Caenorhabditis elegans: one gene and its partners. The protein of the gene in region 3 interacts with the protein of the main gene of each other region in a pairwise test. Each region holds a gene or a part of one and is shown on either strand. Other genes may lie near its edges.

The links.
Region 1: the proteins of ceh-18 (region 3) and nhr-67 interact in a two-hybrid assay, tested with the Caenorhabditis elegans proteins (one large-scale study listed by BioGRID).
Region 2: the proteins of ceh-18 (region 3) and ing-3 interact in a two-hybrid assay, tested with the Caenorhabditis elegans proteins (one large-scale study listed by BioGRID).
Region 4: the proteins of ceh-18 (region 3) and zip-12 interact in a two-hybrid assay, tested with the Caenorhabditis elegans proteins (one large-scale study listed by BioGRID).

The regions. Positions count from the first base shown.
Region 1 is NC_003282.8:11,168,071-11,175,312, reverse strand, and holds nhr-67 (Nuclear hormone receptor family member nhr-67), read right to left. Parts: upstream 5,566-7,242; 5' UTR 5,480-5,565; coding exon 5,443-5,479; intron 4,153-5,442; coding exon 4,052-4,152; intron 3,437-4,051; coding exon 3,339-3,436; intron 3,242-3,338; coding exon 3,112-3,241; intron 2,904-3,111; exon of another isoform or gene 2,774-2,903; intron 2,165-2,773; coding exon 1,895-2,164; intron 1,845-1,894; coding exon 1,675-1,844; intron 1,264-1,674; coding exon 988-1,263; intron 940-987; coding exon 771-939; 3' UTR 522-770; downstream 1-521. UniProt on the Caenorhabditis elegans protein: Orphan nuclear receptor that binds DNA containing an extended core motif half-site sequence 5'-AAGTCA-3'.
Region 2 is NC_003280.10:13,874,244-13,882,041, reverse strand, and holds the start of ing-3 (Inhibitor of growth protein), read right to left. Parts: upstream 6,009-7,798; 5' UTR 5,981-6,008; coding exon 5,953-5,980; intron 5,887-5,952; coding exon 5,815-5,886; intron 5,762-5,814; coding exon 5,658-5,761; intron 4,273-5,657; coding exon 3,748-4,272; intron 2,616-3,747; coding exon 2,001-2,615; intron 1-2,000. Other genes in the region: ndub-8 (NADH dehydrogenase [ubiquinone] 1 beta subcomplex subunit 8, mitochondrial), read right to left, coding at 6,824-7,025.
Region 3 is NC_003284.9:3,854,798-3,859,592, reverse strand, and holds the start of ceh-18 (Homeobox protein ceh-18), read left to right. Parts: upstream 1-1,795; 5' UTR 1,796-1,849; coding exon 1,850-1,895; intron 1,896-3,226; exon of another isoform or gene 3,227-3,227; coding exon 3,228-3,373; intron 3,374-4,795. UniProt on the Caenorhabditis elegans protein: Directs gonadal sheath cell differentiation and function. Also directs gonad migration and plays a role in specifying the differentiated phenotypes of epidermal cells during postembryonic development.
Region 4 is NC_003281.10:12,326,095-12,332,802, reverse strand, and holds zip-12 (BZIP domain-containing protein), read right to left. Parts: upstream 5,137-6,708; 5' UTR 4,857-5,136; coding exon of another isoform or gene 4,818-4,856; intron 3,340-4,817; 5' UTR 3,339-3,339; coding exon 2,991-3,338; intron 2,231-2,990; coding exon 1,931-2,230; intron 1,139-1,930; coding exon 986-1,138; intron 763-985; coding exon 541-762; 3' UTR 529-540; downstream 1-528.

The DNA of each region.
Region 1 (7,242 bases), on a different chromosome or scaffold from region 3:
TTTTGAAAATTGCAAATAGATACCGAAACTTTGACTAAAAACTTTGAAAAATCTTAACCATGTTGGTTATTTTTCGGATGTTCTGGATGTTCAAAAATGAGTTTAAAGCATTTTCTTTATAATATTGGTTGTTGTTCTGTTAGTTTAAAACTTTAAATTAGTCAATAAATCTCAATAAAAAATATTCTAGCATAATCAGGTTTATCTACAAAAACGTAACGCGTTCAAACTATTGACAAAACCATAAACAAATCATTAAAAAGGGGGAAATCAGTCAGCTAATGATTTGGTCATCTAGTTGAATGGGAATATCAGAATGATATGGATATGATAAGAAACGAGGCCATTAACAAGGAAAACGACGATGACACAATATGACATTCAACCGTTCCATTTTCCAATAAATCTCTCGGTTTCTCTCCCATCATTTATTGATTTCTATTGTTTTTTATGTTTCGAATCATATGTAGTCTTCTCAAAACTGTATGATTCACCTTTTTTTAATGATGTTTGTATGCCAATTGCCATTGTTGTAAACGTTTTATTCATCTGTTCACAATATAAATCAGAAAATAATAAATTAGTTTTAAAGCTTACCATTTTTTTTCTCTAAATTTAAATTAAAAATTTACAATTGAAAAATGAAATTTTGAAAGTATAAATCAAAATCCAATGAAAATCCGGGCGAGGCAAGAAACGGAGTGAAAAAGACAATGAAAAGAGATACTTAGAATAATTGAGTTACTGTATATGAAACATGAATTTACTATCTAAACCTCTTCAACATTAACACTCTCTTCTTCTTGAATTGATAATAATTCAGTTATTGATCGAATCGAATGACGTGGTCTTGAAGAGGAAGGGGATGATGCCGATGAAGGCTGAGTTGAGGAATTAAGAGCCAAGAAAAGTTGAACGGGATCCAGTTCTCCGACAGATCTGCAACAGACTCAGTTAATCCACTGTACTAATAAATGCTCATCATACCTATCATCAGTAGAAGAATTTTCATCAAATTGATTGCTACTCGTCGCATCATCCTCTTCTTCAATATCTTCACCCTCTTCAGTTTCGGTTTTTTCTTGTTTTAATAGAAAGTTCAAATTGAAGTTTGCCATTGGAAACAGTGACGTAGGAGTGGGTTGTTGTGGTGGCTTGAACATGTCTTGAATAAGTCTTGGCATTGAAGCTGATCCAATTGAAGGGCGGAATAGAACATCAATTATTGAAGTTGTTGGAATAGCGGCAATTGCATTTATACATCTGAAATAGGTTTCAGACTGTGAAGTTTTCAGAAGGAAAGATGGTACTAGAGCGTTTAGTTTTCATTAGTTTTCAATAATCAATTTCGCTTTTTAAGCAAATAGGAAATAATTTGCATTTTTTGTGAGAACAAAAAACACTGCTTTTTTAATTGTGGAATTTTTTATATTTTGAGCCGAAAAATGAACTTTTGAATAGGATAATCGTACAAAAACTATAAATGAACTTTTTCAATTGGTTAATTAATTAATTTTAAAAAAGAATTAGCAACCTTCAAACTAGCAAATACAATATTTAATTAACTTTGATCGTTGCAACCCACTCAGAAAAACAGCGTTTACCTTTATAGTGAAGTCTCACATTATTCCAAAAATAAGAAAATTGAAAAAAAAAATAAAAAAAGGAACTTACTGGATATATCTCGTCGGTTCGGTTCTATGTGTGAAATTCTGAATAGATGCTAACTGAAAGACAATTTGAATTGCACTTGGTGTATCTCTCCACATTGTGAAATGTTTCAACATCATGTATTCTCTATTATCCAATTGTAAACGTTCAATTATTTCAAACGCGTTAGCAACCTGAACATTCATTAATTTTTCAAAATATTCAGATTCATATTACTGCATACCGCATTTCTTTGCTCTGAGCTACCGGATATCGTCTCAGTCCTTATTTGCTTAGAAGTTATGGCACGTGTTTCAGTTGCATGGAGAACAAGAAGTGCTGCCCAATTTTGTTGAAACATTGTCATTTGCCGTTCTTTAGGTACTCCATTCAAAGGATTCTGACAAAATCCAACAAGTGCAAAAAAGATTCGAGCAGCAGTACCGGCCACTGTGTCACGATTCATTGATGATGTCGGAAGAATTATTGCATCACTTTCTGATCCCATTTCCGGCTGAAATGAAGGAAAATTAAAATCATCTACTTAATAATATTAACTTTTTCACTGAAAGTTAATTATAGAAATTTTAGACATAATTTCCTCTTGTATACGATATTTGCTAATTCTTCCAATCAGCTGTCCCTAACAAGTACTTATGCAACATAATCATTTGACACTATGTTGTCCCCACTTAAGATCCATAAGAGCACAATATTATTGAGTAATTTGTATCCGAATACAAATAGAAACATTAAAACATCTGCCCCAGAATACACATATATTCACAAGTTTTTGAAACTGGCTGATTTTTCAAGGTGCTCTTTTTTAAAGAATCTGTCACGGTTTTGGCACGTATTTGGTGTTTAACTGATAATTAGAGGATATTTTTTTGAAATTTGACGTTTTGAGAAAAACGTACCACAAAAAAATTAAAATGTTTTGTTTAATTCTTCGATAATTGCCAATTCAAAAAATTGCCAACTTAACGAATACTCAGCACTTCCGGCAACAACCAAGTTACCGTGTTGTAGAAAATTGCAATTCATTGCAATCATATTTCTGACCATGCTCTATATCCTAGGTGTTCCCTTCGCCAGTAAAATGTTTGACTATGTTCAAGAGTGACAAATCACCTGTCAGGTGGTACTGTAGATTTGTACAGCAACCGACAACTTTTCACCTTTTTTACTTTTCGTCGCCGCCGCGTCGGTGTCAACTCGACCAAAATCCACCTGCGGATTACTGTACTAATTCTACTCAAAATCCTTTTTTCACTTCACTTTAGTCACTGATTTTTGTGAGTGAGAAAGAGAAAGATCGGTAATCATGAGATTTAAATGGAACTATTTTGAAAGTCATTATGAATTCAAAACTAAATTAGAATCGATAAATTTAATTAAAATTATTAAATATTTTGTCCTTGTAACATATCCGAATTTAAGATTCCCACAAACACATACCGAATTAGGAGAGGATCCATGATCGAACATCATCTGTTGTCGTCTTAAACTTGAGTTACGAGGCCCTCTCTCATGTTGGACAGCATCTTTGTTCATCCCAATTTCCAGACACTTTCTTAGTCGGCAAGCTCTGAAATTCTCCAAGTGTCATCAATCAATGTATGGACTCGAACGTAAAGAGCATAAAAGGGGATCGTAACACTAATCTGTGACCGTTAAGAACTCACCTGCACTGGTTGCGGTGTGTTTTGTCCACTTTGCATTGTCCTTCGGATGGACTGCCTTTGTTTTTGCACACGTATTGACGATGACGACGGATTGAACGCTGAAATTTGGAATTGTTGTTCAATTTCAATGATAATTATGCTAAGGAAATTTGAAAGTCAATTCACATTGAAAAAATATTTCATGAGGTCTCAAATCCTAGACATACATTATAATCGGAGCAGAACAAAGTTAATGTTGCAAAATGATTGTAGACATTTTTTGTTGAAGATTAACACATTTTTATCTATCCGGAAATTCAATAATATAACAATTAGTTTCAGCAAAAATTAGTACCTTGTCTAACCAAGGTGTGCGCTTTTAAAACGTACTGTAGTTCAATAAATTTGTTTCTGTCGAATTTTGGATGGTTTTTCGATAAAAATATATGTTTTTTAATAAAATTCAGATGTAACACATACATTTTTAATAAATCAGGAGAAAAATTCGGCAGAAACGAGAGTACATAATTACAGTACAGTTTAAAGGCACATACCTTTTCCCGTTTAATAAAAAAAATTCACATCGAGACCGGTTACCGTATTTTTAGAGCAAAAATGGGAAACTTTCGCGTCTAGATAATACTTTTTTAAAAATTTTCCACTAAAATTTACTCTCAAATTCGAATATTTTAAGCTATCTAAAAAATGAGAGCTCAATAAACATTAAAACTTACTTTAAAGAATCCAGCACACCCGTCGCAGGAAAAAATACTGTAATGCTTCCCCGACGAATGATCTTCACAGACTCTACAATCAACATCCAATAGAATTCGACCTGAAGAAATAATCATTTTTAGGTGTGAAATAGAATGAGGAAATCAAGAAAGCCAAGAAGGAGAGACTCCAATTATTCAGCACTTCCTGTGTCTCTTGCCTGCCTAATTAATAGAATATGAAAAGAGAATGAAGGCAGAATGGAAATGGATTTGTTGAAAGAAAAAGGCAAGAAGTGAACAATATTTCAAATTGAGTTTCTACTTCTTGGATATTGAGTATTAGTTTTGATGTTGTTCGTATGACTTTAAAAAATTAATTTTATTTAACATCATGACCTTTCAAATCAATTCTAGTTCTAGCTAAATGGTGCTAAATCCACAGGTGCCACGTGTCACAATTGACCCGAAACACCTGCATCTCCCACAGAAACTCTTCCATTCTTGTACTAATTCCATCACCTAACTCATAATTCACACCTAATCATTTCTACCATAATATTGAGTCACTATGTTTAATGACTTCCTATTTTACTTATTGGAGTTCTCGTGCCGGGGAGATTAGGAAAAAAAAAGGAATTTTTATGAAAGTTTTATGTGACTTTTTAGTTCTGAAATCAGGGTTCTGAAATAATGTCTTAATTTTTCAGTTAGAAATTTTTTCTCACACTGAAATTGATATGCATTCAAATTATGATATTCACATTAGACATTTCTTCATTTTCTTTCTTCATTCACACAAACTAGTTTAGGTACAACTACAGTAACCCATCTGCACTAAGGCTTCTAGAACTCATATATAAAGATACATGGATTTACTGTAGTTTGTATATTAATGGATTTATCCCATGGAAGAAGTCAAGGTTCAGATTTTGTTAAATTTGAAGACAATGGGTAGTAAAAAAATATTTAAAAAAAAACAGGAGTATTTCATAGGGTTTTCAAAATTTTGTGAAGGTATCAAAATCCTATACGTATGTATCTTGCCAAAAAAGCTCCCACTTTTTTTTTCGATATTATGCACTTCCAAACCCATTTTTAGGAAATTCTTCCCTAAATATTTCAAATTAATAATAATCTACTCTGAAATTGAAATTAAAATGAGAAAATAACAATTTTATGTGGCTAAGAATGTGAAGTATGCCCACCGGGCAACTCATCCTACGTTTATTAATTGCTCAAGATCCCAATTTTAAAATCTGAGTTTCTTTTGAAGTTGGGAATTGGAAAAAAGCTTTCTACAGCTAAAGCCTGGAAGTTTAAGAAAGCTCATTTTTCCAAGAAAGTTCGAAGTAGAAGTTTTCATCTTCTGATTCTAGATGTTGACGATTAACTTTTTAAAATTGACTTACTGCTTGGAACCGACATCTGTGAAACCGCAGTCATCATTCTTGGCGCCAGATTCATTAATTCAAGAATTCCGGAATATTGAGCACACAGATTCCCAAAAGACAAATTCTCTCTTCTTAAGGCGAGAGTGAGAGGCAGTCGGAAAGGCGAAGGCGAGTCACGTCGTCAAATCATGGGCGGAGCTAGCGACCACCACTGACAGCCGACGGAGAGAAAGCGAAGAGAAACGACTCTGAGGGATACTGTAGACGATGCAATAAGCCACGCCCTGATTGATTTTGAGAGTTTTTCTAGTGTACTGTTTTTCAAATATTCAATTTTTTGTTTTCATAGTATCCAGGTGAATGCCAAATTATTCAATTGAGTGGTAGTTTTATGTTAATAGCTCAAGTAACATTGTTCAGAGTACAGAAAATCTAACTGAGGTGCTCTTGTAGTTGAAATGTTTAACTTATTTTGGAAAACTATAAATCTGAAAACCTAGACCACTGTAAACTTTACTAGTGTGTGAAGTTTTCAAGCAACCACTATGATTGACCACACTCTACTCATCTTTTAATTTAACTTTAACTCGGAGTTTTCAATTTTTATTTAATTTCAATACATTTTATCTGCAGTTTGACTTGAACAAATTTTGAAACTTTCTCAATTAAGAAGTGGTTCTTTTCTGGGATTCTGGTTTTTTCGGAAAACAGTTCTGTATCCTTGGTCATGTTATTATATTTGCCCTATATAGTCAATATTACTCTTGAAAACTCCCTTCCTGTCGGATCCTTTTATTGCTCACGGAGCATCCACCTCATCCCAAAAACTTTGTTCTCTTTTCATCCCGCGCACAATCACCACACACTTCTTGCCGTTGTTGCTCCCATTCTTCAGAATGCCTCCTCAAATCTTTTTGGAGGCACAAGTTGAAGGAGTTTTGGAAGACTCAAAAGAGCTCAAAAGACCCGACGACATCCCTGAGAATACTTGACCATTCATTGTCATCAGTAAAGACTTTATGATGAAAAGAATTGGAGCAAAAGTTTTGAGCAGAGGAATGGTAGTTTTGCCGCAAAAAGTTAGATGGAGTCTGGGGTTCTATGTGAAATATGTAGTAGACTGTTTTGAGAGAAAACTTCAGGTCGTGTGAAAAATTAAATATAAATATTATTTTAGGGAAACTCTAGGTTCCAGACTTGCTTGAACCACAAACGTAAAACTGACGAATTTCAAGCTGTATTTTTTACAAACTTCATTTTCAACTTTATTTTTTATATATCAGTATCAGGCATATAGTTCTCTCTCGGAGAGCCAGAACAAAATCGAACCAAAAAACCAATATCCCTTGATTCATTAAAATTTTAATTTTCTTTGAAGTTAGTTGCTGAAAACTTTAACATTGTAACACCGATTGTAAATTCTTAGATTCGTTATTTAATGTTCTACCCCTCTTGTTCTTCAGTAGGTTGTCACAACCAATTCAGTGTAGTCTATAGTATTAGGTTTCTAAGCAAAAAAAAAAACAGTAAAATATTTTTCCAGCTGCCAGGCTCATGGTATTTTAGAACCTAATAAAATTCTTCAAATGCTCATCATATAAATTGAACTCTCTGTGGCTTGTACCACAGGGTACGAACATGACCTCCATTTCATTTTAGTGGTGAACACCTGCATTTCATTTTGATGCTTACGCAATCAAAAATACTTTTTTTTCTCGATTTTACCCAAGAGTAAGACAATGTGTTGGGATTTTACGCAATATCGAGAACGATGCAGGAAAAGGTCGTTGAAGAGAGATAGACAGACGAGGGTCATAC
Region 2 (7,798 bases), on a different chromosome or scaffold from region 3:
AACTTACTGATATTTTTGTGGTTTTTATTACTTTTTTTATTTTCCAACAAAAAAAAACAAACAAACAAATCTACCATTTTCCCATAATTTTTTCCAAAATTTCAACAAAAAATTCTAATCTAAATTTAAAAAACATATAGCTACAAAAGTGCTATAAAAAATTTACATTTCAACCAAAAATCTTATAAACTGAATTTTCATCGAGACCATCACCAAAAAACTAATTTTTGACCAAATTGAGTGCGAAAAATCGAATTTCCATCAAGAATATTATAAAACATTTTGTTTTCTTCGAAAAAATTAGAATTTTCCAGGCAAATTCTATTTTTTGTAGTTTTTGATGAAAATTCAACTTTTTTTAAATATATTTGTGTGGCGGAAATTTACTTTTTTGCATTACTTTTCGAAGAAAACAAAATGTTTTATAATATTTTTGATGGAAATTCGATTTTTCGCACTCAATTTGGTCAAAAATTAGTTTTTTGGTGGTGATGGTCTCGATGAAAATTCAGTTTATCAGATTTTTGGTAGAAATGTTTTTTAAATTTAGATATTAGAATTTTTTGTTGAAATTTTCAGACTTTCTGTATTTTGTTTTAAAGGTTTTTGGTGTAAATTTCAGATGGATGGATGTAATTTGTAATATTTGTGGAAAAAAACTGAGTTTTCACCGAAAACAGTGCGAAAAATGAAATTTCCACATTGTAATTATTTTAAACAATTTTTTAAAAATCATGTTTTCGTGTTTTATGTTTTTTTGTGTTTGTTTCCATTTAATTTTTCTAATTTTTGAAATACTTACAGTGGAAATTCAATTTAATTTTCGAAATCTAAATTTTTCGTATTATTTCAGTTGCTTTTGTAATTCAAGAGCATGTTTTTGTGGAAAATCAATTTTTAAAAATATTTTTCTGATGAAATTTTAATTTTTCGGGATTTTTTTAAAATGAAAATTCTATTTTTTTTGTAAAATTTTTTGATAATAATACCAACAAAAAATCGAATTTTCACCAAAAATATAGCAAAGTTTTGCAATTTTTAGGTGGAAATTAATTTTTTCGCTCAACTATTTCGAATTTTTGTAACACATTTTTTGGTAAAACCGTTGAAAACGCAGAAATTTTGTTGATTTTAGCCTAAAAATAATATAAATTGCAACTTTTTCCAATTTTTTGGTGAAAATTCAATTTTTCTGAATGTTCGTGAAATTTTTCGATAAAAATGTAAAAAAAAGCAAAATTTTGCATTTTCTGGTAGAAATTATTATATATTTTTCGCAATTTTTTGGTGAAAACTTCATTTTTGTGATTTTTTCCAAGGAAACACTCTATTTAACAATTTTTAAGCATTTTGTTGTGGTAGAAATTCAAATTAAAAAAAAAATAATTTTCGGTTAAAAATTAACTTTTTTCGTACTATTTTTGAAACAAAAATTTAATTTTCGGTGCATTATTTCTGATTTCACTTTTTAAACTCAATTTTTGGTGGAAATTTGAATTTTTTGTACAATTTTCCATGAAAAAATATGAATTTTCATCAAAAATTACGAATTATTGATTTTGTGCTGGAAATTTGAATTTTTCGCTCAATTTTCGATTTTTTGAATGGAAATTTTTTTTTTTTTTTTTAATAAGATCTTTGATAATCTTTGACTAACCAAAAAAGTGAATTTTCACCGCAAATATAGCAACATGATTTTGCAATTTTCAGGTAGAAATTATATATTTTTCGCACTGTTTTCTCGTGTGAAAATCCAAATTTTTTGATTTTTTGAATGGATGGAAACTCAATTTTTCGCACTATTCGAAGAAAAAAAAACAGTAATTTTCTGCATTATTTCTGATGAAAATTCACATTTTTTAATCAATTTTTGGTAATAAAAAACAACAAAAAAAAATCTAATTTTTTTTTCGCACTATTTCTGCTGGGAATTTGAATTTTTCGCTCAATTTTCGGAGAAAAATTCAATTTTTCCCTTCATTAAAAAAGCCCACACTAACATGACGATTATCACACTGAACCATATCTCCATAGCTCTTCTCATTACAAAAACACCAATGCATCTCATCCTCCTCATCCTCCGATCCCGGAGCCATCATCGGATGGCTCCGCTTAATCCGATAACTCGGTCCTTCCTCATCATCATCCTCGGCGGCTCCTTCAATCTCCGGAAGTGGTGATTGTGGTGAAGAGCTCGTCGGAGCGTGAGCGTGCTGAGCCGCCGCCGCCAGATTCGCCGCACTCATTCTCTCCTGTAGTGCTATAATTGAATTTCCATGATTCCGCTGCCGCTGTAGAGTCTCCTTAAACATCTCCTGAACTCTACTGGTCAGCTTCCGAGTTCTACCATGACGGCTCTCAGACACCACAAACGCCGAATTCTGGAGAACTGGAGTCGTCGGCGAAACGACGATATGCGGTCCTGAGGAGAACGTCGGTGTCATCAGTAGGCTTGTCGTCGGCGTCGGTGATGATTCGTCGATTCCGGCGTTTGACCAACTACGTTCGGAGGGATTCGGTGAGAAGCGGGATGTCGATTCACCACGATTCATCATTGATGAAAGAGCACTTGGAATGGAGACTGTGCCGCGGAGAGCATTTGTGTTTGAGCGGCGCTGAAATTTGGAGAAATTAGAGAATTTTTAGTTTTTTCACTCCAAAAACGACTGATTTTCGTGAAAATAATGGCGGTTAGGCTGAAAAATCAGCCTATTTAACGGTTCGGACGATTTGGAACGTATAGACCCAAATTTTGTGCTCAAATGAACGAATTTCATACTGAAATTGCTCAAAAATTCTTCAAAAATGTTTTATGGCGCTTCAAAATTTCGAAAACTTACACTGATTTGAGTTAAAATCTCGAATTTTGGTCATTTTTCCGTGTCTCGGCTGTCCGAAGTTGGCTTTTTTTGGAAATATCATTCTTGATTGCATATATTGGTTTTAATATCTCATTTAATTTCGTTTATTAAGGTCTGTTTAAAGCCTATAGGCGACCAATTTTAATGATTTTTGGTTACCTATTGGCTTTAAATTTACCATAATCAATGAAATTAAATGAGATAAACTACCAAAATATGCAATGAAGGATGATAATTCCAAAAAAAACCAACTTCCTACAGCTGTGACACGGAAAAATGACCAAAATTCGAGATTTTAGCTAAAATCAGTGTCATTTTCGAAATTTTGAACCGCCATAAATACATTTTCGAGCAGTTTCATTACGAAATTCGTTCATTTGAGCACAAAATTTGGGTCAATAAACCGTTAGTCCTCCTGTAAATAGGCTGATTTTCCAGAAAATCATGGCGGTTTGGCTTAAAAATTAGTCAGTAAAGAGCCAAATTTCGTTTAATTTTGAAAATTCGAAACAAAAAGTTAATTTTTAGCTGAAAACGGTCCAAAATGACCCAAAAACGGCCAATTTTCGTAAATTTTATTAAAAAATGTGGCGGTTAGGCTAAAAAAATAGTTGAAAAGAGACGAATTACGCTAAAACTCGAAATTTCGTCAAATTTTTCTTGTAACAACACCCAAAAAACGGGAAAATTTTATCAATTTTGTGAGGTTTTTGTACGATCAAATTTTGCGGATTTTAGGCTGAAATTCAAAAATGTTTGAAAAATATTATTTGAAAATTCAAAATTTAGCTAAAATTCGAAATTTCGCCAGTTCTTTGAACAGGAGGCCGTGGTAGGTGGGCTCCAAATTTTGCGAATTTTCTCGAATTTTCAGCTAGCTCCTCACCCTAGCCGTCGGTGTTGGTGGCACTGGCGTCAGACAATCATCACTGGCCACCACCATCGCCGCCGACGACAGCAACAGCTGATCCTTTGCGATCTTTGGCGGGCGCCCACGTGGCGCTGGTGATGGTATAGCCGATGATAGTGCCGATTGTGCCGACTCATCGGAAAGATCCATTCGAAGACGAACACCTTCCTGAAGGATCCGCTGAATTTTGTCCTTTGATTCTTTCGATAAAAGTGGTCCCGAAGCGACTGTCGATGCTCTCGACGACGATCCTCCACCACCACCACCACCGCCCACGCGATGACGACGTTTTCGTTCTTTTCTCGCTGTGAGCAGAGATTCGACGTGTTGGGTATATCGTTTTTCGATCATTTCGGTCACTCCTGAATTGTCGGCCTCCATTTCACACTGGAACGTGGTTTTCTCCTTTTCCAAGTGAACTTTGTACTTTTTGAGGAGTTCTTGCATTTTTTCGGCGATTAGATATTTGCGTTGAGCTAGCACGCGGATTGTGGAGAATTCCTGAAGAAAATTGGTTGCAATTTTTTGGGTTTTTTCAATTTTTTTTTTGTGAAAAAGCAAATTTTTGAACTTTTTTTTTCATTTTTTAAGAGAAATTTTGCCATTTTTCAGCTATTTTTGTGATAAAAACTTTTTTTTGAGCTTATTCAACGTTTTAACGAGAAATTTTGAAAAAATGGTTGAATTCTAAAATTTTTATTGAAAAAAAAAAGCAAATTTTTGAGCTTTTTTTTACTTTTTAAAGAGAAATTCTGAAAAATTGGTTGATTTTATGATTTTTCGGGGGTTTCGACTTTTTTTTTGTTGTGAAAACAGCTAATTTTTTTTTATAATTTCGGCATTTCCTTCACTTTCAACGCGAGAAAATCTGGAAAATTGGCATTTTGGGATTTTTAAGCTTTTTTTTTTTTTAAAAGCTAATTTTTCAGCTTTTTTTTTAAAGAGAAATTAGAAAAATTGGCTGATTTTTTGGGATTATAAGGTAGTTTTGGGGGAGAAAGCTTTTAAAATTAATAGAAAATGCAAATTTAGGGTTTTTTTCCAAGAATTTCGGCAAAATTGGTTGTATTTTGAGATTTTGAAAGTTTTTTTTAGAAAACCACGAAAAAAAAATTAGAAAATGCAAATGTAAATGTTTTTTCCCAAAAATTAGTTGAATTTTCAATTTTTTTTCGTGAAAAAAGCTAAATTTTCAGCTTTTTTTTCACTTTTTAACAAGAAATTCCGAAAAATTGTCTGAATTTTGCGATTTTTTGTCCTGTTTTTTAAAAAAGATTTTCAGTGAAAAAAGGAATTTTTTCGACCGTTTTTTTCCGAGAAATTCTGAAAAATTAGCGGAATTTTGGGATTTTTTCGCGGAAAAATGCTCATTTTTTGAAAATTTCGGTATTTCCTTTATTTTTAGCGGAAAATTTTGAAAAATTGGATGCATTTTGAGATTTATAAGCGTTTTGGGCTAATTTTTGCGTTTTTAAGCTATTTTTGTGAAGAAAAAGCTTCAAAAAACGATCAAAAACGACAAAATTCTAATTTTAGGTTTTTTTCCGAAAAGGTTACAACTTGGTCGGATCTTGAGCAACTTTTTGAGTTTTTCGACCTCATTTTAGTGTTTTTAGACGTCATTCACTTTGAGTATTTTTGAGCACTTTTGGTGTTTTGTGGGAAAAAAAAGCTTAAAAAGTGAAAAAATGACATCAGGCAAAGTACAAAAAAATCCCATTTTTTCTCATTTTTCTTCACGAAAAAGCTAGAAAAACGGGTTTTATAGCGAAATTTCTCATTTTTCACGAATTTTAGCCGTTTTTGTGGCAAAAATCAACTTTTTCCTGCGTTTTCGTGTCAATTTGCTGCCAAATTCGAGTTCCAGGAATTTTCATGAAATTCACCTCCTGCAAAACCTTGCAGCGCTCCTTTCTCTGCTCCTCGGGCATATTTACGCCGGTTCTCTCGAAAAAATCGTTGATCGCCTCTCGATTACGGTTTAGACGGGCTAAAAATTCGAAAAAATGAAGGGAAAAATTCAGAAAAATTTCGAAATTTTACATTCAACTTCATTGTCGATTCGCCGAATTTCATCGCTTCTCTCCTTCAGCTCGGCAGGCAGCTCATCGAGCACTGGAAAACGTTGAAAATTTGGGTGTTTTTATAGGGGAAAAGTTTGCAACAAAAAAAACCACTTACTTTCTAAAAAATCATCGAGGAAGAGCATTTTGTGCGGGGGCGTCCAGCGCCGAGTTCTGAATTTTTTTTCCAAATAATTAATTAATTAAAAGTGGAGTAGCGTAGCGCCAGTGGGAAAATTGCTTTAAAACACGCCAAATTCAAAAAAAAATTTCTAAATTTTATATGATTTTTTGAAAATTGAAAAAATCTCAGTTTTTACCCCTAATTCCTATTTGAATTTCCGCCAATTGAACTCGTTCGTTGGAGCGCCGCGCTTGCACGTTTCTAAATTTATTTATTTTTTGTTATTTTCCACCGATTTTTAATGTTTTCGGTGTATTTTTGCTTGAATTTTAGAGAAAAAGTCGAAATAAATGCAAATTTTCGAATAAAAACCATGCGTACAGACCGAAATCAGTGAAATTAATTAATTTTGTCATTTTTACGCCTGTAAGCGTGCTTTTTAATCGAAATTTAGCATTTATTTTGACTTTTTCTCTAAAATTCATGTAAAAATACACCGAAAACTAAAAAAAATTGAAAATCGGTGGAAAATAACAAAAAATAAAATAAATAAACTTAAAAACGTGCAAGCGCGCTCCATCGAACAAATCCAATTAGCGGTAATTCAAATAGGAATTAGGGGTGAAAACTGAGACTTTTTCAATTTTCAAAAAATCATATAAAATTTAGGAATTTTTTTTTCAATTAGGCGCAATTTTAAGCAACAAAAAAAACGAATTAATAGGTATAAAAGCGTTAAAAACGCTGAAAAAAGGGCAAAAAAAAGGCAAAAAAAAAAATGATAAAATTCGAATATTTTATAGTACAAAAAAGGAGAAAACGGAGAAAACTACCAAAAAAAAAACAACCGAAACTAAGGAATTTTCTATTCCAAATCAAACGAATAGTTGACAATTGGGTATTTGCGTGGATCGTCGAACGGGTAGGCACGGTAGAAATCGTATGAATACTGCTTCGGCATTGCCGGATTCTTCCAACGGAGCGCGTTCGGATGTTCGTTGGTAAAGTACCAGGCGAGGAGAGCCATCGGTACGAGCACGCGGAGGCACATAACGATCGAGTTCCAGCTGAAAATTGGATAAATTAATTAGAAAAAAAAAACAAAAAAAAACAGCCTAAAAATCCGAAAATTAAAAAAAAATCGCAAAATTTAGAAAATCCACATTTTTTTCACCGAAAATACTAAAAATCGCTGCAAAAATTCAAGAAAATCCGAGAGATACGAAATCGATAAAATCGGTAGATTTTTTCGCTAAAAATCGGTGAAAACCCGTAATAAGAGGCAAGAAAATCAGTAAATAATTTGAAAAATGTCAAAAAAATTTCCAGGAAATCGAACGAAAATTCTCAATTTAGTGAAAAAATCTCAGAAAATCAACTGAAAAATCCTTTAAAAAATTTAAAAAACCTGTGGAAAATCCGACGAGAAATTCAAAAAAAATCAATGAAATTTCAGGAAAATCAAAAAAAATTCGTCATTTTTTTAGCCAAAATACGAGAAATTCCTCTTTTTTTCAAAAAATTATGAAAAAAACTGCCTAAAAATACGAAAATCCACTTTTTTAAGGGAAAAAATTCGGAGTTTTATCAGAAAATCGGGGAAAATTATGAAAAACTTAAGTTTTAGGGCGAAATTACCCGAAAAATCTGCGAATTTTCGGATTTTTATCAGAAAATTGGACTAAAATTCGCATTTTTCAGCGAAAAATTCGCTTTTTTATTAGAAAATCGGAGAAAATAATGAAAAAAAAACTGGCTGAAAATCAGAAATTCCGAATTTTTACCTAAAAATAGTGAAAAATTATGGAAAAAACTGCCCAAAAACCCATAAAATACACAT
Region 3 (4,795 bases):
ACTTCATTGTGATTATTCATAGAGCCATTTGGCTTTTTGGGGGGAGCCGGCCAAACGGCATTCTTTCGCTTGCATAGGCAAATGTCGTATATCCAGAGTGTCAGCAGGGCAGGAGCAGCGCTAGAAGCACCGTCGTTTCAAATCGACGCCATCTAATATGCATATTTGAACAACTGCGCGGTTTTGCCCACAGATCTGGCCGCCGCAATGCCTTTTTGCCTTTTACTGGCTAAACATGAATCCGACCAGTGCGATCATCCACATTTCCTCGTTTTACAGTACAGCTGAAAACAAAAAAAGATAATGGAGCTTTTGAAGGAATGGGGACTTTGTAGGAAAAGATAATAGATAATCAAGAGAAGTACATCACGTTTCGAATTGCCTCAACTTTAGGGCTCATGTGTCAATGCTCATTTCGTTAAGCTGATGACCTCTCGATATCGCATCTGTTTCTCCATGTTTCATTCATACTACTACCTATTCTCCGTCTTATCCCTTTTTCCTTCCCAATTCTTTGTCTCTTTCTTGCCAAACAGAACAACACCTCCCGAATCAACATTTTATCCCCCCACAATCAATCACTCAATAAAATCCATCAAAAATCTTTTGATAATCAAAAATGCCTCGGTGCCTGACTGCCGAACAAGCCGGCGGGGCGTCGTCTTTTTTGTTAGCAGTTGTGTTGTCTGTCATCCTACGTAATTTTGTGAAGACTCGAATTCATGAGCCAAGTGGTGCTCAAAAGACTAGGTAATGAATGTGTAGTGTAATGGCCGGGAAGAGTGAGCCTCATACACAAGATATCATATCATCTTATCTCCAAGATGTATTTCGAAGAATCTTTTTTGAATATTTCACATTCTCCATTTTTACAGAGCTAACTGTTTTTTCAGCTTCAACTAGAAATTTTCTCAACAGTGAGAATGCAAATACTTTCAGAAAATGATGTGTAAGTGACAAACATAGGCACTCTCGGAGCTACAGAACCAATTTCTCTTCTTATCATATGCAAATTTGGCGTTTTTTAATACTCTAATGTGTTATTCAAAGCTTATCAGTCAAATTTTCTTTATGATCTCATACAGTTCGGCAACATCGAAGTTTAAATTTCAAATTAGGACGCGATAGATTTTACCCTAGTTTCGTTCCTAGATATTAGAATAACTTAGATAATAGAAGAAAAGTGATGCGAAAAACAGGGACTCGAAAATTGTTTTAAACAAAGTGTCCTATGCGAAATTCACTTCATTTCTTTTATTTTTCTCTTCCTCTCCCACATTTTTCGTCGAGAGCTATCATAACAAGAAGAGCTGAACGCGATGCAGCAGTAGCCGCAGAAAAATCAGATCGAATCATTAGGCGCATGCGACAATTGGCTGAAAAATACTGAGACACAAGTCGCACTAGAACGCTTGGCTGTCAGCTAGTTAGGTGCCGCTCGGCTTTTCCTCCCCACCCCGAGAGTGGTTGATTTTATGCCAATATTACAACTTCTAGGGTGGCTCATTTTCCTGAATCGCCGATGCGATCACCCTCGTCGGCAATGAGTGGCCCCCACGCGTTTCGCTTGATCCATGCCGCCGATTTGCTCACATGAAACACATTCTTCATTTTCTTTTCTCAATTGACGGAATATTACATTTTGTTTATCTCGATTCTCTTTTCTCAGTCAATCTTTTCTGATTCGTCATACCTTCATTCACCTTCCAGCTTATACAGTTTCGATTTATTTTTAATTTTCATCTATCAAAACCACATTCTCTGTCGGTCTTATCCAACAGTGTCTCTGTTTCAGACGTAAAAAGTCTCTATCATCATCCTCACAACACATATCATCAATGCAAGAAATATGAACACCTTGGAGAACACGTTTCAATTTCTCGCAGAAGTATTCGGTAGGTGATGCTTTATCAATATCCGTTTCTTTTTCTAATTGTCGACTCTTCGGAGTCTGGTCACAAATCAAGCGCGTTGCTGTAATAATTCATTTTGACTGATTTTCGTGAAAAGCTAATGACAACGGTATGTTATAGGCGATGATTGTCTACCTGGACGCAACAATTTTTTAAAAATGTTGGTCAGATGCTCTTTTTTTGCAGTTTTAAAATCCAAATTCACTTGTGTAAAAAAAAAAAAAAATTAGGCGTTTTTCAAAAATTGTATGGGTTTTTTGATGAAAAAGTGAAACTTTTTGCACTTTTGAGCAAAACAGTTTTGTTGGGTTTTTTCTTGTTTTTTGAGCCTGAAAATGAAATATATGTACATTAAGAAACTAATTCATGTGTATACTAAAATCGAAATGGTATGTATAAAATAATTAAATATTTTTTGGAGTAGCAAACTCAAAATTATCAACTTTAGTTTTAACAACTCCAGAAATAACTTTTGAGAAAATAAGGGTCAAAAGTTTTTTTGAATTTTTGAATGCATTTTTCTGTATAGAAAATTGTCAGAAATTCAAAAAATTATAATACTTGCAAAACATTAAAATAAATTTTGGATACTCGATATGAAATCACTTCAGACAAAAATTAATTTCCAATGTTACGCTACCAGCTTTTCAAAAAAATTGTAAAAATTTAAAGTTTGACGGTAAACATTTTCCAAAACTCATTTACACTTAAAAAGCGGTTTCATAGCGCTAAAAATTTTACAGTAAACATTTTGAAAGAATTTTCAATTTTTTTACAGTCAAAGAGTGGTTAAAATTTAGTTTTGACCTAACATTTTGAAAACATGTATGTAAGTGTAGCAATGCTCAAATGTTTTTCTTGAATTTTCACCAAAATAATTATGGAGTGTTCTATTTTGATATTCGGCCATCTTAGAGTATTATAAAAATTGTTAGAATGAGTTATTTGACAATTACATTCACTGAAACGTTGATCAGTTATTAAATACTGTAAGTTGATTTGTAGAACAATGTACACAAAATAAGTAACTCCAAATTATCAATTAAAAGTTTATCATTTCATTGAAAAATCACAGTAGTGAAAGTACTATCAAAACTTGATCTATTGATCACCGTTCCGTGTGTCCTTATTTTCGCGTTCCACTACTTACACAGATTAACTCAAGTTCAGCGTCGTTGATGTTAGCTTTCGAAAAAAAAAACTTCTGCGCGAATTTGATTGGCATCGTGAAAATGAGATAACATGTTCTGATTGCTCAAAAAAGGAACTTTTCTGACTAGATGCTGCTCCATATTTCTTGTGCACATTTTTCAGAAGCCAATGGTGGTTGCCTTGTCACAGAACGTGTCAGTCCATCTTTGTCGGGAGCCAGCAAACGAAAAAGTCGACCGGTGAAGAGGATCATCACTGAAGACGAAGTAATCCCAGAAGAAGAAGTGGTCGAAGAAGAGGAAGAAGAGGTGAGTCTTTTGAAAACAAACTGCTTTCCAATTGGCTTTTAAAGTTACCTTTTTTCTCAAATACGTTTTTATTTGCAATCAGTGAAAAAAAAAATTTAAGCTGTTTCATAAAACTTTATATATACTAAAATGATTAAAAAAGCTATGAAAATAGTTATAAAATACCACACATCTAAATTAGTCAGTAATGTTTTTCCACTCTCATCGGACCCAAAATCAGACCTTTCCAATTCAACTCGGCCATCCCAGCCCATCGCATCCATTTGCTTTCTCAAGATGAAGCAGTGCAATGAAAGTGTGGGATAATGCAATAAAGGGGTGGCTAAAAAGGAAAAGAGATGCGGGTATCGAGATAAGCAGATTCGGGAGTTGGCCCTTGTTTATGATGTAGGACAAAACTAAAAGTAGGCAGAGGAGAAAGCCGAGCCGCGTCGTTCTGTGTTTTCAACTTTTCATATTGGTCCTTTTTTTAGGCGAAATCTTGGGAAATTTAGTGATTCGTCAAGATAAAAATTTTAATTTAAACTGTTAATTTACTGTTCTGGGCATGATCCTATTTTTTATCTTTAATCATCTTATTAGGGAAAAAACAATTTTTAGTTTTTAGTGCAAAATTCCAAACGAACCAGTTTGTTGCCTGTCTCAAAAATTACATTTTCAAATATGGATAAAAATTTAAACCATCGTCTTATTTAAAAAGTATTTTTTTAATTTATTTTTTAACATAGATTTTTACTGTTATTGTTAATGTGTACATATTATTTTATTTTACTCTTCTGTATCTAGAAATTCTGCATAGTTAATTTTAAGAAAGGGCTCGAAACAGTAAGATTAACATTTTTGAATAAATGTTCTAAATTTTATTTATTAGAACTTTTAATGTCTATTTTCATGACCGTTTCATAAAGAAATAACTAAAAAAATATCGTAAAAATAACTTTAGAAATTGATTCAACTAGATATTCCTTATCATTTTTGACCGAAAAGATATTTGGAAAAAACAGTATTGAGATGACGGTCGCTAACTATTTTCAGCGACTGCCACTGTATATAAACTGCTTCACTTTTTATACATACCTTTTTAGCACAAAAGTGTATTTTCTAATTACTAAAATTTGTTAAATTTCAAGCCTTTTCTTCTCACGTTTTCCAACTTTTCCCACGCTGTAAAAATTTTTTGTTTCGTAGTATTTTAATTTTGGATTAAGGTTCAGTCAGGTCATTTTATCATTTTTTTTTAATTAAAAAACAAAATTTTTGAATGTATTTTCAGTTCTTTTTTCCTTTACTTTTGTAATTAATTTTCATAACTTCTATATTCACATTGAAATTGTATCAAACTACAGCAGCTCTGAACATTTTTGAGCATCCTCAATTTTTTTTCAAAATTAGAGACCTCTGGAAATAAAGAAAGTAGGTTGG
Region 4 (6,708 bases), on a different chromosome or scaffold from region 3:
TTCCGAAAAATTGCCGGTTTGCCAAACTTGCCAGAAAATTTCCATTCCGAAAAATTGCCGGTTCACCTAACTTGTCAGAAAATTTCCATTCCGAAAAATTGCCGGTTTGCCTAACTTGCCAGAAAATTCAATTATGGCAATGTTGCGATTATCGTTTTGAAATTCTGAAATTTCCAGAAAATAAACTTGCAAACCCACAACTTGCCGAAGTGTTTTTTTCCGGCAAATTGCCGATTTGCCGCACTTGCCGGAAATTTTCCTTTCCGTCAAATTGCCGAATTGCCGGAAATTTCAATTCCGGCAATTTGTCGATTTGCCGGAAATTTACAAATTCGGCAATTTGCTGGTTTGACAGAAAATTTCCATTCCGAAAAATTGCCGGTTTGCCTAACTTGTCAGAAAATATCCAGTCCGGCAAATTGCCGGTTCGCCGAACTTGCCGGAAATGTTCCATTCCGGCAAAAATATTTAGACTACAAGGAGAATAAATGAATAAGAACACATTTTCAAAAAGTACAACCATCGGATAAATTCCATAATTTATTTAACAACAGATTCTTTATCATCATTATCATTTTGTAACAAACACAAATTATCAGCAACAAAACGGCACAGCTCTTCCAAATCCAAAGTTTTATTGTTTTTAATTAGTTGATCTAACATGTCTTTAGGAATTGAGGTGACTAGGGGAGCAGCTTTTGGTACCGTTTGCTTAACATATTCGTCTGCCAACTCGGCAAGTTTTGTCTCACGATGATGCTCCTGTAATAAGTTATTTTTAAAAAAATATTCTGGAAAAATTTACAATTTTATTGGGAAATTCTAAAAAATGAACTAAAATTACATGATTCGTCTCGAAATAAAATTTTTTTCAACTAGAACTTTAGGCTAATTTAGGCCAATTTTTGAGCATTCTCCCCAATGTTTCAGTTAACGGGATTTTCTTCATTTTGACTGTTTCAGGTAAGAATTTATATAAACGAACATGTTCATGTGCAGATATTTGATACAAATGCTGTCTCCACTCCATTTGCTGCTTTGCTCGGATTTTTCGGGAACCTAAAGTCCCAATTACTCCGTTTTTTAGACGTAGGTCTTCAGCAGCTTTTTCAAATTCTTCTCGAGCACTGGCGAGCCTCTATAATTTGGTTAATAATTTTAAAATTGACTTTTCAAAAGAAAAAGTCGGAAATTCAGAAATTCCACAAAAAAAGTTTAAAAACGGGATTTACAAACTAAGGAGAACTCCCCGACCAATCACCATCTTTGAACTACGCCCACTCGATCTGATTGGTGGAAAAGTGGGCGGAGCAAATCGCTGATTGGTCGCAGTTCTCAGTTTTGCATTTTTGAAAAAACTCAAACTAAAGTAGGACTTTTTTATTTATTCGCTATTTTTTTGACAAATCGGCAAATCGGCAAATTGAAAAATTCCGGCAAATCGGCAAATTGAAAATTTTCGGCAAAACGGCAAATTGAAAAATTCCGGCAAACCGGCAAATTGAAAATTTCCGGCAAATCGGCAAATTGAAAACTTCCGGCAAATCGGCAAACTGATGGAATTGAAAATTTCCGGCAAATCGGCAAATTGCAGGAATTGAAAAATTTCCAGCAATTCGACAAATCAACAAATTGCCGGTATTGAAAGTTTCCGGCAAATCGGCATATTGCCGGAATTTATAATTTCTGGCAAATCGGAAAATTGCCGTTATTGAAAATTCCCGGCAAATCGGCAAATTGCCGGAATTGAAAAATTCCGGCAAATCGGTAAATTGAAAATTTCCGCAAATCGTCAAACTTCAGGAGTTGAAAATTTCCGGCAAATCGACAAATTGCCGGAATTGAAAATTTCTGGCAAATCGGCTAACCGGCAAAATAAATTTTCGGCAAATTGGTCACTTTTTTTTTGAAATTTAGAGAAAAAACCTACATGAAAATTCAAATTAACAGTTTCATCCTGTGCAAACATTTCAGCAAACTTCTTATTCAATTCCATTTTCTCATTTTCATATTCCAATTTCAGCCGTTCTACTCCAATTTCTGACATCATTTTTCTCAAATCCACTGCAAAATTCGCATTTTTCTCTTTTATCGCCGTTTTATTTTTGAGAAGTTGAATGCGTTTTTTGATTTGATTACTTCGAATTTCCGCATGCTTTCGTTGATCTTTTTTCTTTTGAACACACTTTCGGGCGTACTCACGGTTTTTGGCCATTTGACGGTGACGTTCCTGAATAATTTGGATTTAAAATTGATATTCTTGCCAAAGTTGAAATTTCCGGCAAATTGGCAAATTGCCGATATTGAAATTTCCAGCAAATCGGCATTTTTTGTCGAAAATCAAAATTCCGGCAAATCGGCAGTTTTTTGCCGAAAATCAAAATTCCGGCAGATCGGCAGTTTTATTGCGGAAAAGCAAAATTTCCGGCAAATCGGCATTTTTTTTTTGCTGAAAATCAAATTTTCCGGCAAATTTTTTTCGGGCAAAATTGGGAAATCGAAAAATTGCCGGAATTGAAAATTTCCGGCAAATCGGCAAATTGATGGAATTGAAAATTTCCGGCAAATCGGCAAAATCGATGGAATTGAAAATTTCCGGCAAATCGGTAAGTTTCAGGAATTGAAAACTTCCAGCAAATCGGCAAATCAGCAAACTGCCGGAATTTAAAGCTTCCGGCAAATCGGAAAATCGGTACATTTTCGGAATTGAAAACTTCCGGCAAACGGCAAATCGGCAGTTTTTTTTTGCCGGAAATCATAATTTTTTGCAAATCGGCAAACCATCAATTTGCCGATTTGCCAAATTCGTCGACAAAAAAATTTGCTGAGCCCCAATTGCTATCCTGATTTGAGTGAGGCTTTTCAGAAAAATTTGGAAATTATTTTCAGATATAACAAATCTTTTTCTACACTACAAAAAATAGGCGTTAGGCGGGCATGTACATCTAACCTAAATTTTGTACTAGAAGTTGTAAAAAATCCACACAAACCTGTTCTCTCTTGTCCATCTTACTCGGATCTTTATTCAATTTCTTAAATTCCTCTTCCCACTCCAAATCCCCATCTGTATCCATCTTTGAGTAGCCTTCATTGTAATTATTATCAGTGTACTCATCTTCTATATCATCCAACATCTTCGCCTCTACTTCTTGTTTTATCTCCACTGGACCCATGTTTTGCAGTTGGCTCATTAAAAAGTTGAATACAAAGTTCTGGGAGCCTGACGATTCATTGTTATCTGACGACTCGTGTTCCAGCTTTACCGAATTCTGGTTGTTTTGCGTGGAGTCAAAGTGTTTTAGAATCATGTCACGACTGCCACTTGTTTCGTTATTCATTCTGTAAAATTTGGAATTTTTTGGTCTTGTCTGAAACTTTCGGGCCAGGCCCAATTGTGCATTTTAAAAAATTTTTCGCATCGTCTTTCGCTTATTGGTTCCTCGTCTTTCGCTTATTGGTTCGCGACTGTTTTTGTAACGAACTTATGAGAAAGTTTGCTGATTCTTATCAAAACACTAATTTTGCCGATTTGCCAGAAATTTTGATTTTCGGCAAATTGCCGATTTGCCAGAAATTTTAAAAGGGATTTTTCAACATTAATGTAGGAAAAAAGTTTGCCGATTAAAATTGAAATTTTGAAATTTCCAAAAAAAAAGTGCAAAATCATAATTTGCCAAACATTTTCGGCAAAAGGCGTTTTTCCGGAAATTTCGGCAAATCGACAGTTTGCCGCTTTTCCGATTTGGCGGAAATTTTTAATTCCTGCAATTTGCGGATTTGCCCGATTTGCCGGAAATTTCAATTCCGGCAATTTACCGATCTTCCGGAAATTTTAATTCCGGCAATTTGCCGATTTTCCGGAAATTTTCAGTTCCGGCATTTTGCCGATTTGCCGGAAATTTTTAATTCCGGCAATTTACCGGTAATTTTTAGGTCCGGCAATTTGCCGATTTGTCCGATCATCCGGGAATTTTAATTCCGGCATTTTACCGATTTAAAGGAAATTTCAATTCCGGCAATTTTCCGATTTGCCGGAAATTTTAATTCCGGCAATTTGCCGATATGCCCGATTTGCCGGAAATAGTTAATTCCGGCAATTTGCCAATTTACCGGAATTTTTTAATTCCGGCAATTTACCGGTAATTTTTAGGTCCGGCAATTTGCCGATTTGTCCGATCATCCGGGAATTTTAATTCCGGCATTTTACCGATTTAAAGGAAATTTCAGTTTCGACATATTGCTGATTTTCCGGAAGTTTTCAATTCCGGCAATTTGCCGATATGCCCGATTTGCCGGAAATAGTTAATTCCGGCAATTTTCCGATTTGCCGGAAATTTTAATTCCGGCAATTTGCCGATATGCCCGATTTGCCGGAAATAGTTAATTCCGGCAATTTTCCGATTTGCCGGAAATTTTTAATTCCGGCAATTTGCCGATATGCCCGATTTGCCGGAAATAGTTAATTCCGGCAATTTGCCAATTTACCGGAAATTTTTAATTCCGGCAATTTGCCGATTTGCCGGTAATTTTTTATTCCGGCAAATTGCCGACTTGCCGATTTCGCCAAACGACAATTGCCACCCACCCTGTTTTGGACGCGAGATATACATACACGTCGCCAGCAACCGGCAATTGCCAAAGTTTCTGCAACCGGCAGCTTCTGGTTGCGGAAACTTCGGAACTTCGGCAATTTGGCCCCTAATGTAAGAGCCCTGATGCCCATCGTGAACTCACTGATGCATTCAGGAATCTACAGTAATCATCAAGGGCGGAGCTTGATCCTTCCATATTTTCCTAACCAAAATTTCAAAACATACCTATCCCCAGTTCCTTAGATTCAAAATCGTCGTTGTCAGTCAAAAAAAAGGCAAGAGACCAATGGTGGGGGAGACAGTGTGTGTGTGTGTGTGTGTGTGATAAGAGAACACAACTTCTTGCTAAGAAGAGTGAAGACAGTGAATGCATGATGTTTGCCTGCATCATGACATCGTTTGATTGTATTGAATAGAGGAGGAGGGCAGCATCAAAAAAATGAGAAATAGTCAGAGGAAAGATGTGAGAGCCTTAGAGAAAACAGAGTAGGAAATACTGTGCGACATACTTGGTATCTGAGCAGTGGTTGAGACAGTGGGGGGGGGGGGGGACAGTGAAGGTGATTAGCAAGATTGATAAGAGACTGTTGATGGGGGATGGGCACTGATTGCTGTAATTTCCAATACATCGCAATTGTACATTCGATGGATGTAAATGCAATTGACAGATTAATTAGGTATTATATTGTATAAAAATGGGTTGGAAAGGCATATCAAAAGCTGAAAAAAGGTATCTATAGAAACCCATTCCAAAACCAAATTTCAGAAGCATCACGTGGTGCTAGGCTGTCCCATTACGGTTTGATCTACAAAAAATGCGGGAATTTTTCGCCCAAAAATATGTGACGTCAGCACGTTCTTAACCATGCAAAATCAGTTGAGAACTCTGCGTCTCTTTCCCCGCAATTTTTGTAGATCAAACCGAAATGGGACGCAATGAAGCATTACAATGAAGCATTACAGCGAAAAATGAAAGATAAATCTTTCCAGGACATGTAGCAAAAGCGGTTCTGTGGCTCGAGAAAGGTTTGAAAAAATGAAGAACAATGTATTCTTGAGCAGAATCCATGTAATATTTTGGTAGTTGAAACCCTGATTTTAGAATTTATCCAAATGAATTCTCGGAATTTTCAGTTTTAATAATATAATTCATTAGATTCACAGTGAAGTGAAACCTGATTAAAAAAGGATTAAAGGACGAAATATAATTTTTGTCTGAAGCCTACAGGAAAAATGTTTCATTGTTGAAGTGGAAATTTTCATTTTCGACAATTTGCCGGTTTGCCGGAAATTTTTGTTTTAGACAAATTGCCGATTTGTCGGAAACGTTCAGTTCCGGCAATTTGCCGATTTGCCGGAAATTTTCAGTTACGACAATTTGCCGATTTTCCAGGAATTTTCAGTTCCGGCAATTTTCTGATTTGCCAAAAAAAAATTACGGCAATTTGCCGAGTTGCCATTTGCCGGATATCAGATTTGCCGGAAATTTTTAGAGGGGTTTTTTTAAAGACGGAAACACTTAAAACTGTGCCTTTTTGAAAAATTCGTTTCCTGTTATGTTTAGATATTTTCATAGAACTTGCTTTTTTATTTTGACAAAAATTTCCGGCTATTGCAGTTTTTCAATCCGGCAAATAGACGATTTGCCAATTTGCCGATATGCTGTAAATTTTCAAATCCGGCAATTGCCGTTTTTCTGGCCAATTCGGCAAAAAGACATTTTGCCGATTTGCCGATTTGCCGGAAATTTTTAATTCCAGCAACTTGCCGATTTGAAATGTGTTTTCCAAGTCTACATTTAATGATAAAGTATAGAAAAGTATTTGATTTGATTGAAAACAACTATAATTTGGATTGGAAAAACTGAAAAAGTGCTGAAAGTTTATCTGGAAGTTGAAACTGCTCGAAAAAAAATGTAAACCTTTAAAAAAATTTTCGAGGACTTTTCAGTTTTTTAAATTTAAAGGGTGAAGTAATCTTTAGTAGTAGGAAAACTAGTTTTCAAAATCTTTCGTTTTAATAGGAATTTCAATATTTTATAGATTGACCAACCTAAAAAAGCTTTTTTTCATCAAGTTTTATTATCATATTGCATCCAGTTTTCCAGTTTTTTTTC